2 linked regions of the Coturnix japonica genome follow. The protein of the gene in region 2 binds, or shares a complex with, the protein of the main gene of each other region. Links are inferred from orthologs where the notes say so. Each region holds a gene or a part of one and is shown on either strand. Other genes may lie near its edges.

The links.
Region 1: BDP1 (region 2) and BRF2 share a complex: the UniProt entries of both Homo sapiens proteins name them as parts of the TFIIIB complex. The link is inferred for Coturnix japonica from reciprocal best matches to the Homo sapiens genes BDP1 and BRF2.

Annotation. Positions count from the first base shown.
Region 1 is NC_029537.1:3,589,162-3,593,375, reverse strand, and holds the start of BRF2 (transcription factor IIIB 50 kDa subunit), read left to right. Parts: upstream 1-1,298; 5' UTR 1,299-1,486; coding exon 1,487-1,640; intron 1,641-1,724; coding exon 1,725-1,784; intron 1,785-2,334; coding exon 2,335-2,656; intron 2,657-3,000; coding exon 3,001-3,712; 3' UTR 3,713-4,214. UniProt on the Homo sapiens protein: General activator of RNA polymerase III transcription. Factor exclusively required for RNA polymerase III transcription of genes with promoter elements upstream of the initiation sites.
Region 2 is NC_029547.1:64,469,057-64,472,703, forward strand, and holds part of BDP1 (transcription factor TFIIIB component B'' homolog), read left to right. Parts: coding exon 1-147; intron 148-461; coding exon 462-571; intron 572-1,243; coding exon 1,244-1,303; intron 1,304-1,668; coding exon 1,669-1,809; intron 1,810-2,334; coding exon 2,335-2,468; intron 2,469-3,244; coding exon 3,245-3,339; intron 3,340-3,647. UniProt on the Homo sapiens protein: General activator of RNA polymerase III transcription. Requires for transcription from all three types of polymerase III promoters. Requires for transcription of genes with internal promoter elements and with promoter elements upstream of the initiation site.

The DNA.
Region 1 (4,214 bases), on a different chromosome or scaffold from region 2:
AGTTTTCCTACAGTGAAGCACTTTATTGAGGGATTAATTATTAACCTCTTAGTAGTCTTAATAGTCTTACTATTGTCATAAAACACTGAAAATTACTGGAGACTTCTCAAATGAATACTGTATTTTTGTAGTGAAAAGTAGTTAATATATTATCCTAGAGATGTACACGTTGATTGGAAACTCAAAGCTGTTAATCATGTTTCCTTACTGTAATTGGGCTGACTGCTGAAGTCTACCCTGGCAATCAAAGCTCTCCTGCGTGAGAAGCTCAAGTTGAAGCAAAACCTTTTGCTTTAAGTGTCTTTAAGAGTCTCTGAAGACTCCAGGTTGGTACTTGGGGCTCTGAGATGCACAAGTTCTGAGCAGCACCTTTGGGTGGCACTGCTTTGTGTTGCTTGGAATGGATGCTGCTCCCAGTGCCTTGAAATAGCAGCGGGATGGAGGAGTGCTTTGTTTCCTCCCCGCAGATCTCTGGAAAGAAATAGTTCTTTATACCTCATAGATAAACTTGTCTTCTAGGCTTTATTCCATTACTTTATCCTGGTTTAGAGAGTCAGAAAACCAGCAGTGCCTTTTGAACATCATAACCATTCGGAATGACAGATGCTGTTGTTGGTAGTTATCACTGGACATGGGCTGAGAAAGGCCTGATGTGCTTCTATGGATCTCATTTTAGCAGTGAGGGCAATGCTGTGTGTATGATGCTGTGCACAGCGCTCTTTGCACTCTGGATCTCTTCAAGTTTTAACATTGCATTCCTTTTGCATCTCAACGTTCTGCACAGGAACAGAATGGCATTGTATGCTAATAACTCACCTTAAAGACAGAGCCTTAAACCTTGTACTGTCCTTTGCCATTTACCACTATCACTGAGGCAATACGACCTCAGCACTGTGTGTTATTATCCCCTGTGGTGACAGGTGCTGCAGGCAGCGCTCCTGGATGAGCCACATTTCCATTCCACAGCTGTGAAATCATGGCACAACCCTCACACCACCATCTACGGTCTATTTAAAGCCTTTCTTTGGTGTCAGGGGTGCTCACCTTGATTTTAAGGGCCTTAAGAATTGCTTGATATTCCTGAATGACCTCAATGTATGTTGATACGGTCTTTTATCGCGGGTACTGTTTGTTTTTAAACACCCTTTGGGTTTTATGGAACACTACAATAAAATTACCTTAATTCCAATGTCCTCATGGCTGTGTTTTCCCTTTAGCAGAGCTGTGGATGTCATAGCAGAGCTACATTCATTCCAATATCCTCATGGCTGTGTTTTCCCTTTAGCAGAGCTGTTGGTGTCTGACTGAGAGCAGGTTTGTGATGGCTAACAGCTCCTAATTGAGTTGCTCTATATCAGAGCTCTGCTGCTCCTCGTGGTGCCGGAACGCAGCGCTCTACGAGCTGCTCTCCACCCGGACCATGCTCGGCTTGCACCGCCCGGTGCCGTGATAGGCTGTAACCGGTACAACCCCTATTTGGTTCCTAATGGCGGATCGCGGTTTGTGCCCTGAGTGCGGCTCCGCGGCGCTGCTGGAGGACGCTCATTACGCGCAGCAGCAGCTGGTTTGCGCCGCGTGTGGCTGCGTGTTGGCCGAGGGGCTGCTGACCACCACGTACAGCGATGAAGGGCAGCTGCGAGGTGAGGGTTGTGCCGGGGGGGGGGGGATCCGCTCTACGCGTTGCTGAGCTGGGCTCTGATTTGCTGCTTGTTTGTTTCTTTCAGAGGTGGCTTATTCGCAGAGCACAGGGCAGAAGGAGCAGCTGAACCGATGCGAGCAGAGAGGTAAGGCTGGAAGGCACCACCTTTGGGTAACCAATGGCAGTGCATCGCTTGCAAACTGCTCCTATCCAGCCTAAACCTTTCCCTTTGAACCCCCCCCTTCCTCATATCCAGCCTAAACCTTTCCCTTTGAACCCCCCCTTCCTCATATCCAGCCTAAACCTTTCCCTTTGAACCCCCCCCTTCCTCATATCCAGCCTAAACCTTTCCCTTTGAACCCCCCCCCTTGCCCTGTCACAGCCCCCTTCATCCTTTGTATACCCCTTTGTTCCTTACAGCCCCTTGGATACCATAGGGCTGCTCTCAGGTCTGCCCAAAGCCTTCCCTTCCCCAGCTTTGCAGTCTCCATACCTGGCCTTGCAGAGCAGTTCTCCATCCCTTGCGTCATCCCTGCTTTGCTATATGCTAACACATCTCTGAAATGGTGAAAGCTTTCATGAGCTGGCAGTTAAACATGAAAGGAGGAGTTAGTTCTCTATGCATTAACATCCCTGTGAGGTTACTGCATAAGGATGAGTTCGTGCAGCTCCTTAAGGGCAGTTTCTTTCCTCAGGGATCAGAAGGGTCCAGGATCTCTGTAAGGTTCTTCGGCTCCCGTCGGTGTTTGAAGGCACGGCCGTGTCCTACCTGCAGAGAGCACTGCAGCATCCCTCCTTCCGCCTGCTCAGCCTGGAGAAGAAGGAGCTCCTGGTGGGCTGCTGCGTGCTGGCGACCTGTCGGCAACACAACTGGCCACTGACACTGGGAACAATCTGCTCCCTCCTTTATGCAAAGCAGGAACTGGTCACCAGCGTCTACCTAAGCCTTCAGAAGGAGCTCAGGATCTCAGTGCCGGCGCTGAGCCTTATGGATCTGGTGAAGACACACCTTAACAGGTAACAGCCATCCATCGTGGCCCATGTGGTGCTCTGTGCACAACACCTGTTTGTGCTGAAGCTTCCAGAATGCAGTTGCTGCAGGAAGCTGTTTGGAGAGTGGGCAGTGCAGGACTTAAACATGGGGAGCTTAAGGACCTTGCCTTTAAGGACCTTGCCTTTAAGGACCTTGCCTTTAAGGACCTTGCCTTTAAGGACCTTGCTGTGACCTTCTCTGTGTTTATTTAGAGGGATGACTGGCATCAGTGGCTGCCACTATGGTGGAGTATAAGTCTGAGCTGTGTTGCTGTAACCAGGTCCTGAAGCTGTTCCTAGTGCTAACAGTGGGTTTTCTCCTCTTCCAGTTTCCAGCTGTTCCAGCACACAGAGGACATCCCTGCCCAGTTTGTGGAGGACAAGGAGGCGATGCTTGCCCGGACCATGCAGGTGGTGGAACTGGCAAGTGAGACGTGGCTGGTGACAGGTCGGCATCCCATCCCCATCGTCACAGCTGCAGCCTTCCTGTCCTGGCAGTCCCTGCGGCCCTCTGCCCGCCTCACCTGCACGTTCACACAGTTCTGCAAGGCAGCAGGCATTGATCTGCCCCCCCCGGCACGCCTGAGGCTGAAGGAGCTTTATGAAATCCTCCTGAGGATGGCAGCTGAGCTTGCTTGGCTGAAGGTGCTTAACTTGGACAAGAAGACGGTGGTCAAATACATTGGGGATCTGCTGCAGCATCGGATCTTCCTGCTGAAAAATGCCTTCTGTGCGGTGGATGTGGAGGAGCAGCAGAGGGCAGCCCAGGCTGAGGACTCCTCTAGCAATACTCCAGCAGCAGCAGGGACAGCACTGGATAAGGGCGGCCCCTCGGAAGGGAAACAGAAGGCTGAGGGCAGCCGGAGGCCCTTACTGCCACCCTGCCTCCTCCATCCAAAGAAGAGACTGCGCACTGCAGCCTTGAGTGCTTCGGATGCTGCCATCACTGGAGATGAGCCCATCTCTGACAGTGAAATAGAGCAGTACCTGAGGGGCCCGGAGGAGATCCGGGCATTCAGGAGGGCCAAAGTGTGGCAGTGAAGATGAGCATCACTGGAACAACACCACTGGAGCACCAGAGACTGGAGCCAAAAGCATCAATCCTGATGGTTAAAGAGTCATTCCATGCTGCAGGGACAGTCATCTGTGGATACGTGGTGAGTGGGAGGAGTGGGCAATGGTTTATTACACTAGACCAAGATAAGTCATTTTAATTAGAAGTAAATAGAATACAGGGGCCAGGAATGGGGTTTCAGCTTGACAGGAGCTGGGAAACCACTGGGGATCTGCAGCAAAGGGACAGCACTGGGGTGTGTGAGCACAGACAGCGCTGGAGGATGCAGACACAGCACTGCTGGCTGTTCACTTTGGACACCATGAAGCATTGACCTCTGTCTGCCTAATAGGCTGTTGTATTTGAATGCAAACTCTGCGAGAAATCACAGTTCATTTGGCAGATTTGCAAATCTTTAATATATTAAACAAAACATATCTGCTAGAAAGATTCTATTTATATAAAAATGCAAAAAGACCCCTTTTAAAA
Region 2 (3,647 bases):
CAGGAAACGTCAGTGGCACAGGAGGAAAAGCTACCTCCAAAACCATCTCCTGTGAAAGAGAAACGAATATGTTCTGACCGTGAAAGGATCCTCAAAGCTCGGAAGTTAAGAGAAATGCTTAAAGAAGAGCTGAAGAAAGAGCGGATGGTAAGCCTCTACCTTGGGATTTGGGATTTCTTGCATCTTTTAGACCTTCACAAACTGAGTTATGTGGCTTAGCTCTGCCAAGCATTGAATATCTCTGAGAGGGTAAATCTCTTAAGGGATATGTAGTCTCCACTCTGATAAATATACTCTTTTCATAAACTAACCAGTTCAGTGTGAAAAGAACAAAAAAACAACCCTCAAATCCCACCAACAAAATAACAAACTTCATTTTACTAGGGTACGTAACAAACAAATGCTATATATGAAATGAAAAGTACTTCCTTGTTGAAATTAAGTTTTTTGTTTTTATACAGAAAGAGTTGAAACACAGGCCTCCAATAATTGAAGGATGTTCTCCACCAGATCGCTCTAAAATGACCATGAGAGACTTGATATACTACCTACCAGAAAACAATCCAATGAAGTAAGTGTGGCTTTTTTCCTTCCTGGGTTGAATGATTCTTTTTCTGTTTAATGATTATGAGGAGAATTCTCAAATCTGGAGTGTTAGCACAGATGCAGTATTATTATAATGGCAACAAAAGCTTCTAAGCACTTTCATATAGAAATTAGATGTAATGACTGGTTATAGCCCATTCATCTGTCTCCTGCTCCAATCATATGCATTTCACCATCCTTATTCCATACTGATCCATCAGGATCACTGTTTCTCCCTCCCTTGGACCCCTCACTTAAATATATCACAATAAATTTACATAGTTGTGCAACCTTCTGAATGCATTATGTAAAAGACAGTCACCCTCACTTGAGAAGTGAGTCCACATGAACCTAGTGAGATTCAGTACGGCAAAATGTTGCTTTTGGTTGGGGGGGGCAATCCTGTATATGTGTACAGATGGGGAGAATAATTACAAAATGGAAGAGGTTGGAAGGGGCTTTGCAGTTCCAGCCCCCCTGCTGTGGGCAGGGTTACCACCCATTAGATCAGGCTGCTCTGGGCAAGTTCAGATATAGAAAGAGTTGAAAATCAGAGTTTATGTTTTGTTGCTTGTTTATGCATTATCCAGTGAAAGTGGGTTTGAGGGAATGAAGCAGAAATATATCAGTATAAACTGGCGTCTCTTAAAAATTCTAGGTCTTCGTTAGCAGAAGAGAAGAGGACAGAAAAGAGTTCTACTCTGGGTCAAATGAAAGAGTAAGTCTTAGAGATGAAGGTACTTAGATTAAAAAAAAAAGTCGTCTGATATTGGAAAATAGAATGTGTAAATGTAGTAGTATTAATAACATTACATCTTCATTTACTGTTTCAATATCATAGCCCTTCTTTAAAACAAGCTGTGAGAGTGTTTTGTAAAAGACCCTCTTGCTTTTCATATTACAATTTTGAACTTGTCCATCACACAACAGAATGAAAAGCAGATTTCAGAGTCTGCATGAGCTTGACATGTTTATGGGTTGTATTTTAAGTGGTTAATTAAATTGTTGAGCATTTGGCCTACAGAGCAACAATTTGGTGGAGTGCTACCAAAAGTCATACAACTTTTCTATTTAATATTGTAGACAGGAAGAGAAAAGTACTCCCGATCATGAAGAGGAAGATGAGGAGGAGGCAGAGAATGAGGAGGAAGGTCAGGATGGTCCACTTCTAGTTCCTCGTGTGAAAGTAGCCGAAGATGGTTCAATTATTCTGGATGAAGAGAGGTAAGTTCTGTGTTTGACTCGTGGACAACAGGTGCTAGATGCTTCTTTTTTTTGTAGATAGGATTGTTGTTTGAGTGAGGGAGACCCAAGCGTATGATGTGATGAGAGTTGAGCTGTGCTAATATAGAGGACAGTGCAAATATACAGCAATATATGAGCAACAATTATTTGTGTCTCAGTAGTGGCAAACTTCCTCTGAAAAACACGTTTTGAGGAAGGAGATAGCAAGGAAGATGTCATGCTTTGTAAGAGGGCTGAATGTTTGTTAAGGTGATTTTAATTTTAAAAGATATTTTAATTATCTGTCTTTGTACTATATCTAATAAAAAGGGAAAACCAAATTTGCTTGCACAGTCTGAGTAATCTAATGCTTTTTACCACATTCTTCCATTAAAATAAACAGTAAGGTAGTTACAGTGGATAACAATGCATCCTGACTTATGGCAGGAAAAGTCTAAGTAGTTGGCCTTTAAATGTTATATGTGTATCTTGCTTGTCAAATGCCTTTTGTCTTTGCTTTTGTAGTTTAACTGTAGAAGTTCTAAGAACAAAAGGTCCCTGTGTTGTAGAAGAAAATGATCCTATTTTTGAACGTGGCTCTACAACTACATATTCCAGCTTCAGGAAAAGCTTTTATACCAAACCATGGTCAAATAAAGGTGGGTGTACCTTTGGTTTCATGTTTTGCATCAGCACAAAGATGTTTTCCACCAGTGCTTTATGCTTAACAAATTTTATTCCCAGTGAAGTTTATGGATCTGCTTAAGCCTGACATTCCACACCTAAGTTCTTTAAACAAGCAGAGCTCTGATTTTTGTCTGTGAAAATAGGAATGTTTAAAGAAATCCAGTGCATTTTGTAGGATACTCATGACTATTTCTGTTATGGAAATTTAGATACCATGGAAATGCTTGCCTTTTTCAGATGGGTAATTTTGGCTTGGGTTATCAAGATATCTGAGCTCAGTATGGAACAGGTAGCCTTTCTTAGCAACTCTTCTAATGGGTTCTTCCAGCATGGGCGGAAATAAGTTGTTTCTACATTATATTTTTCTAATGCATACAGAAGATATGTTTTTCTGTTTTGTTGTTTTTCTGTTATAACTAGCTCTGTTGTTATAACAGAATCATGGCTGATCATGGCTGACAGCACTGTGCAAAACTTCTTATCATTTTTTAATAACTCATATGGAAAAGTTAGCTTCAGAATATACTGTGCTGCTCTTGGGATGGGCTATTACCCTATTTACAAGGAATAGTAACAGTGTGTTTTAGGTGTTATTTGCCTGGTTCCTGTTTGAGGTTGTGTTCATAATAACAGTAATCACTAGCACTTTGAAATGAGTTAACTTTTATTTACTAGCTATCTACAGAACATATTTAATATTGTGCAGTTATGTGTATGTATAGCTATGTATCTTTTCCTTCTTCCCCAGAAACAGACATGTTCTTTTTAGCTATCAGTATGGTTGGAACGGACTTCTCCTTGATTGGACAATTGTTTCCTCACAGAGCCAGAGCAGAAATTAAGGTATAGGTTAAAGCACTTAATGCAACAATTACGCATCTTGTTTCAATTTTCTATTCCTATTATTCTGTTACTATGATTCCTATTAGTACTGATCACATTAGTGCTAATCGTCTCTGTAGAAATTATATTTTAATGTTTCCAGGAGATAAGAATCTCAATTATGAATATACTGACATGAATTCTGAACAGAATATCTTCTAAATCTTACCTATTTGAGCACAGTTTGCCTTGTCTTTATTTTTAATTGAAAAGACTAATGAACATAACAATGAGGTTCTTCTATGGTGCCTTTGTATTTGTCCTCTAGG